2 linked regions of the Cricetulus griseus genome follow. The protein of the gene in region 2 interacts with the protein of the main gene of each other region in a pairwise test. Links are inferred from orthologs where the notes say so. Each region holds a gene or a part of one and is shown on either strand. Other genes may lie near its edges.

What was found.
Region 1: the proteins of Myoz1 (region 2) and Flnc interact in a two-hybrid assay, tested with the Homo sapiens proteins (2 studies listed by BioGRID and IntAct). The link is inferred for Cricetulus griseus from reciprocal best matches to the Homo sapiens genes MYOZ1 and FLNC.

What each region holds. Positions count from the first base shown.
Region 1 is NW_023276806.1:198,369,530-198,373,029, reverse strand, and holds part of Flnc (filamin-C), read left to right. Parts: intron 1-37; coding exon 38-155; intron 156-239; coding exon 240-502; intron 503-830; coding exon 831-1,428; intron 1,429-2,001; coding exon 2,002-2,175; intron 2,176-2,279; coding exon 2,280-2,442; intron 2,443-2,692; coding exon 2,693-2,853; intron 2,854-3,500.
Region 2 is NW_023276807.1:200,330,517-200,334,614, forward strand, and holds the start of Myoz1 (myozenin-1), read left to right. Parts: upstream 1-1,298; coding exon 1,299-1,371; intron 1,372-2,414; coding exon 2,415-2,593; intron 2,594-4,098. UniProt on the Homo sapiens protein: Myozenins may serve as intracellular binding proteins involved in linking Z-disk proteins such as alpha-actinin, gamma-filamin, TCAP/telethonin, LDB3/ZASP and localizing calcineurin signaling to the sarcomere.

The DNA of each region.
Region 1 (3,500 bases), on a different chromosome or scaffold from region 2:
AAGCCACTCCATTCTGACTTTCTGTTGTACCCCATAGGGCAACATGGCAGTAACAGTGACCTACGGTGGGGACCCTGTCCCCAAAAGTCCCTTTGTGGTTAATGTAGCACCCCCATTGGACCTCAGCAAAGTCAAAGTTCAAGGACTTAACAGCAGTAAGTGAAGAGCCACCCTGGGATTGCGGGGTGTTGGGTGAGGGGTGGAGTCTCTGCTCATGGTGTCCCTTGCCCTCTATGCAGAGGTGGCCGTGGGACAGGAACAGGCATTCTCGGTGAATACAAGAGGGGCTGGTGGTCAGGGTCAGCTAGATGTGCGGATGACCTCACCCTCCCGGCGACCTATCCCCTGCAAGCTGGAGCCTGGGGGTGGTGCAGAAGCTCAGGCCGTCCGCTACATGCCCCCTGAAGAGGGACCTTACAAAGTGGACATCACCTATGATGGTCACCCAGTGCCTGGCAGCCCCTTTGCTGTGGAAGGTGTCCTGCCCCCTGACCCCTCCAAGGTAAACACACAGGGGCTGGGATCCAGGAGTTGGGGGCTGATAGGAAAGATGAGTGAGTTATAGGCAGAGACCAGAAGAACACATGAGCCTAGAGTAGGCACATCCAGAGCCAGGAGCATCCTTTCTGGGGGATGGGTCTTAGAGACAGCTTAGTTGTTCAGAGACTGGCATTGGAATCAGACCTGATCCACAGAACTGATCCACTGTTACTCCATCTCCTGGAGTTGGCTGCTACAGCTCAAGGTGCTTGCTCAGGTCACAGCTGCAGAGTCTGGGAACTTAGAAGAAGCCAAGTTCAGGGGACTAACACATGTGTTCATCTTTCTAGGTCTGCGCTTATGGCCCAGGTCTCAAGGGTGGGCTTGTAGGTACTCCTGCACCGTTCTCCATTGACACCAAAGGAGCTGGCACAGGAGGCCTGGGGCTGACTGTTGAGGGCCCCTGCGAAGCCAAGATCGAGTGCCAAGACAATGGAGATGGATCCTGTGCTGTCAGCTATCTGCCCACAGAGCCAGGCGAGTACACCATCAATATCCTGTTTGCTGAAGCCCACATCCCTGGCTCACCCTTCAAGGCCACCATCCAGCCCGTGTTCGACCCAAGCAAGGTGAGGGCCAGTGGGCCAGGCCTGGAGCGTGGCAAGGCTGGAGAGGCAGCCACCTTCACTGTGGACTGCTCGGAAGCGGGCGAGGCCGAGCTCACCATTGAGATCCTGTCGGACGCTGGCGTCAAAGCCGAGGTGCTGATCCACAACAACGCGGATGGCACCTACCACATCACCTACAGCCCTGCCTTCCCTGGCACCTACACCATCACCATCAAGTATGGCGGCCACCCCATACCCAAGTTCCCCACTCGTGTCCACGTGCAGCCTGCAGTTGATACCAGTGGCATCAAGGTCTCCGGGCCTGGTGTGGAGCCACATGGTAAGAGAGGAGCAGCCCACAGTGTCGAGTTATGGGACTAGGCCAGGAGGGAGGGAGGAGAGCTGGGGGATGAGCAAATGGAGGTTTCGGGGGCTCAACACCCCAGAAAAAGGAGCAAGGGGGACCAACAGGGCATGAAGATTAGTCTCTGATCTTGTGACAAAATGGCATCGGCCCCTGGGCACTTTTCTGGTAAGATCTTTGAACTTGTCGATTTAAGGCATCTCAGACCCCAATAAAGCCGAGAACACATAAAAAGGCACAGTGGGAAAGCTGTATCTTAGGTGTCAAGAATCCGGGAGATAGTTACATGAGTGGGCTGCTTGCGAGGGAGACAGATCAACGAGGGATAAGCTGAGCAGAGGCAAGTAGGACACAGTCCTCAGCCTGGCAGGGCACTAACGAGGGCAGAGGACGGCACTGAATGGTGAAGGGAGCAAAGGCAGAAGGTGTGAGGGAAGGCCTGAGACTCAAGGGCGCAGAGAGTTGGCTAGGCTCTACTTAAAGAACAGCTTCGGAGTGAGGGATGAGGAAGGGGCTGAGTAAAGGCTGAGCCTGGCTCCCTGGATCTAGGTGTCCTGCGGGAGGTGACGACTGAATTCACCGTGGATGCGAGGTCTCTGACAGCCACAGGCGGCAACCATGTGACAGCTCGGGTACTCAACCCCTCGGGTGCTAAGACAGATACCTATGTGACAGACAATGGGGATGGCACCTACCGAGTGCAGTACACTGCCTATGAAGAGGGTAAGGGGTTTGTACGAGTGGGAACGGGGCACAGTGTGCTCTGGAGGGCAAGGATGAGGGAGGGCTCTGCGCTCCTTGACTGACTGACTGTGACTGGCTTCCAGGTGTGCATTTGGTGGAGGTGCTATATGATGAGGTAGCTGTGCCCAAGAGCCCCTTCCGAGTGGGTGTGACTGAAGGCTGTGACCCCACCCGAGTCCGAGCCTTTGGACCAGGCCTGGAGGGTGGCTTGGTCAACAAGGCCAACCGCTTCACTGTGGAAACCAGGTATCCTTCTCTTTGCCTAACCTTGACCCAAAGTTATATCCATCTTGATCTCTTGCCCTTTCCATTTATTTGCCCTGTCACCCACTTCATCCTATTTCAGAGGTGACCCAGGGTCATTCTCCCTGTATTCCTAGACAGCCCATGCAGTCCATCCCCAGCAGCCTGCCCTCTTTATTCCTCCCTGTCCCCCAACCCCTTCCCTAACCCTTTCACTGGCTCTAAAACAGCTGACAGGAGTGTTCTTTTATAGGGGTGCTGGCACTGGAGGCCTTGGCCTAGCCATTGAGGGCCCCTCAGAAGCTAAAATGTCCTGCAAGGACAACAAGGATGGTAGTTGCACAGTGGAGTACATCCCCTTCAGCCCTGGAGACTACGATGTCAACGTCACCTTTGGGGGACAGCCCATCCCAGGTGGGCAAAGAGGGTGGGCTGGGCTGTGGATGACAGGACTCTGGCGCCACAAGGAAGACTGGGGGAAGGGTGGATGGGGCGGTTTGCAGAGGGCAGAGCAGCGGGGTAGGAGGTGCTGTGGTGTGAGAGCCCCCAGTTCATTCCTCCAGTTCATTCCTCCAGTTCATTCCCAGAGGCCCTGGCCTGGAGCACCAGGCCTTGGTCATGCTGCTTCTCTTACTAGGTTTGCTGTCCTGTAGCCCAGATGCTTGAGTGTGCCTGTCTTCTCCCATTGTTCTAGGAACTGGATCTGCTAAAACAAGACTCTGTTTTCTCCTTATTGCGTGTTGTATAGCCTCTTCATGTTCTACCACAGTGTCAGAAACAGAAGTCGTTTTTAAAATATTCCATTTTTAACATTTTAACAATCTAGGAGGGTTATCTACCTGGGCTGAGCCCAAGTAAGTGAGGTTTGCCTTGCCTCACTCTGCAAATTTGCATACTCTTGTCTTTTATGTCTCAGCAAGTTCCAAACTGCCTTCATGTTGGTCTTTTGTCCGTATGGACCTCTCAGTAGCAGGGAGGTTGCCTCGTCCTTGGATTCTCAGCACGAGGAGATAGACTTTCCCAGGCAGTGGGGAGAGGATAACCACCATCTCCTCCTCCTC
Region 2 (4,098 bases):
TTTGTCTGTGATTGTGATCCTTCATCCTAGGGGAGTGGCCTCTCTCCTCATCTCTGCCCAGCTCTCAGCTGTCCAGTTGGAGCCACAGAGTTGGAAACAAATGGACCTAAGGAGTTGGGTGGAATTAAGATGGGTGGGGAGGTACCCGAGGAATGGGAAGGGGGGGCTGAGACCCTGGGAGGTTGGTAGAGTGTATCTGTACTTCTGAGACAAGACTCCACAGAAAACTGCATGAGCGTTAAGGACAAATTGAAGTTCATGTTTTTCCCTAGCTTGTCGCCATCCACAGCCAAATCTTATTACTATGTTTCTGTCCCCTCACAATTCTCTACTGTTATATATGATATCGCTGAACTGACATCTGTCAGTGCTCAGATGCCCTCAGTTCACTCTCCACCCCAGCTCTGCAGCTTGGGATAGGAGTGCCTGAAGGAACAAGGAACACACCCATGACCTCTCAGGCCAAGTTCCAGTTGGCCTCCTGGCAGAACAACAACCTCTCCTTCCTATGGAGACTGTCTTGGCTGAATCTCCTTAACACCAGCAGAGCATTTCTTTACCCCTTGGACCTTGAGGGAAGCCTGAGGAGGAGACCAGAGTCTGGAGCCATAGCTGTAGGCTGATACCCCAATACAAATAATCGCTTTAAATCATGCCAGGCCAAGAAACCTGGGTGCACTGCCCTGCCAGGGTTGTTGTCTTTGAAACAGCTCTCGCCTCCCCCCCCACAGGATCTATGGAAAATGGGCACTGGAGGATGGTAAGAGGTAGGGAAAAGGGGGCAGCTCTGCCTCCTGTTCTGATTCCAAAGAAAACAAGTCCTAAGACAGCGGAGTTTTACCATTTGGGAGGAATACACACTTCTGTGAAAACCTGAGAGTTGGATGGCATACCTTAGTGGTAGAGAACCTGCGTGGCATAATGAAGCCTTGAATTCAATCCTCAGCACTGGAGAAACACACACACACACACACACACACACACACACACACACACACACACACACACACACTCCGAAGAAACTTTGTTCTTAACCCCAAGTTAAGGAGTACTGAAGCTTCGAGGTGGTGGCACATGCCAACTTGGGAGGCAGAGGCAGATTGGGCAAGGAGGGTAGGAGCTTGGTTTGAGGATCTCTTGAGTTTGAGGCTAGCCTGGTCTACACAGCCAGTTCCAGGACACAGGACAGTCAGGGCTACACAGAGAAACCCTGTCTCAAAAAAAAAAAAAAATTAAGAAAAAGAAGATTCTTCTTCAAGCCTGCTTCCCACTCCTTCCAGGTCAAGTCCATTTCCATCATGCCGCTCTCGGGAACCCCGGCCCCTAACAAGAGGAGGAAACCCAGCAAACTGATCATGGAGCTCACCGGAGGTAGGGCATGCTTGTAGCTCCCTAGTGCCTGACTTTTAAGAGCACCCATGACTCGGGAGTCCCAGAAATTACATAAGACTGGATATAAGTCAGAGTGAAAATACAGGAGGAATTCCAGCCACGGAAGGTGTGGGAGACAGAAGTGATGGGAGGGGTAAGAAGGGCAAGGAGAGAGAAGCAGGAAGAATTCCACATTTACTCTGCATCCTCCACCCTTGCCACTGGTTATTCTGAGACAGCACCCAGCTACACTACTCAGCCAGGCCCAGGGCCACAGGACACAAGCTAGACCTCACCAAATGGTTAACTTCCTTATTTCTTTCTAAGTGCTAGAGAACTTGTGTAAGCATTTAAAATAGGAAACTGGGCAGGCATACTCCCCAGGGATGTAAACGAGTTACCAGGTGTGAAGTTCTCCTGATACTTCTGGAGCCAGAGTTCACTGAATCAAAAAGAAAAAAAATAAGGATCTGTATTTAGAGAGGGGCAACTGCACATGATATTGGACTATCAGCTTCCTCCCAAGCTATAATTTCTCCAGTGACCTCTGTCTACAATATTCCCTTACACTTGTTCTCTTCCACTCCAAGCCCATATTCTTTGTAGCCCTGTTTACTTCTCTACTCTAGTACTCCGACTGTATATGCCCTGAACCCTTGTTCCTGTGTATTCTCTCTAACTCCAAACCAGGAAATCAAGACTTCTCATGGAGTGTGATGATGGCCTATGCCTTTAATCCCAGTGATCAGGGGGCAGAGGCAGGCTGATTTGTGAGTTCAATGCCAACCTGGTCTAACAGTGAATTCTGGGCCACTCTGGGTTACATAGTGAAACCCTGGACCCCCCCTCTCTCTCTTAAAATATTTAAAAGATACACAAATGAGACAAAAACCTCTCATAAACTAGGCAGAACTTGGTCAGATCACAGAATTTTGCCTCTAAATGATCTCTTTGACTATACACTCAGCTATGGGTGGAGGTTCTTCTCTGAGTCCAGAAAGCCTTAATTTCCTCTATCGCCCCTTCTCCACCTCCTGGACAAGGTGGACGGGAGAACTCAGGCCTGAACCTGGGCAAGAAGATCAGTGTCCCAAGGGATGTGATGTTGGAGGAGCTGTCATTACTTACCAACCGAGGCTCCAAGATGTTCAAGCTGCGGCAGATGAGGGTGGAGAAATTTATCTATGAGAACCACCCGGATGTTTTCTCTGACAGCTCAATGGTGAGTATGGATGTGACCAACTCTCTCACAGCCCAGTGCCTTTTCTGACAGCCTCTCAGCGGGCCCTAAGTTCCCCAAATACCACCCACTTCCTCTCCATGAGAAATGATAAGTTCATTAAGTCCCGTACATGTATTACATTCCCAGCAGCTCTAGGGTGGGTTGCAGCCCATTTCTGAATCTTAGTCCTCATCTTAGAGCCAGTGCAGGCTGAGGAGTACCACACCCAGAGGAAAATTCCTTCCCAGTGTGGGTAAGTGTTAAAATAGGGTTGCCAGATAAAACACGGGACACCCGTCCTGTATTTTGAAGTTAAGATACACAATGAATATTTTCTTTTAGTGAAGTATGTTCTTTGTAATATTGGGACATAAAAATAAAACAAGCATCAAAAACTACAGAATCTCGGGGCTGACTGTATAGTTGAGTGGCAGAGCAGGTGCTTAGAATGCATGGAACCCTAGGTTTCATTTCCATTGCTCCCAATGAAGACATCAAGACATTGAGACACCAAAGGTCAAACAGAGTATCCAGTTACATTTGACCTCCAAGTCTACACAATGAGCTGGACCACTGAGGAGGCTGAGGAAGATTGCTTATGAGTTGGCTAAGTTTTTACAGCGAACACCTGTCTTTTTTTCTTTTTTCTGTAAATATGTTGCCTGTAACATGTAACATTTTAGACATACAATATAAGAAGCCTGGCGTTGGTGACGGCTTTTAATCCCAGCACTTGGGAGGCAGAGGAAGGCAGATCTCTGTGAGTCCGAGGCCAGCCTGGTCTCCAGAGCGAGTGCCAGGATAGGCTCCAAAGCTACACAGAGAAACCCTGTCTGGAAAAAAAAAAAAAAAAACCCAAAAAAACAAACAAAAAAACCAAAAAAACAAAAACAAAAACAAAAAACAATATAAGATTTGAATAATACATTTTTGTTTGTTTTGTTTTTCGAGACAGGGTTTCTCTGTGTAGCTTTGGAGCCTGTCCTGGCACTTGCTTTGTAGACCAGTGGCCTCGAACTCACAGAGCTCTGCTTGCTTCTGTCTTCTGAGTGCTGGGTGTGTTACATTTTAAATTTAAATACATAACAAATACTTTCTTAATGTAAACTTGTCCCATTAAATACTTAGGGCATATTTATACTAAAAATATTGTTCTATACCTGAACATAAAATGTAAGTAGTAGTGTGTAATTTTGTTTGTTAAATCTGGCAATGTTAGGAGAGTCTAATAAGTTTCTATAGCCATCTTCCTTTTGAATAAATCTTTTTTTAAGGTTCAGTCTCTTCTTTAAGGGTGCCTAACAGGGAACTAAACCCTCTTTCTCTAAGACAACATATGTTCCAGGCAGGCTTCTCCAAAGAAAGAGGAGGAGGATGGGAGAGAGGTCAGGCACAGGACGTTACAGCCAAGGAGGAGGGGACCAGTTCCATTTCCTCTCTTCCTCCTCCACCTCCTCTGGGTGGCTGGGACAGTGGAAATAGATGCCTACATGGATATGGCCAAG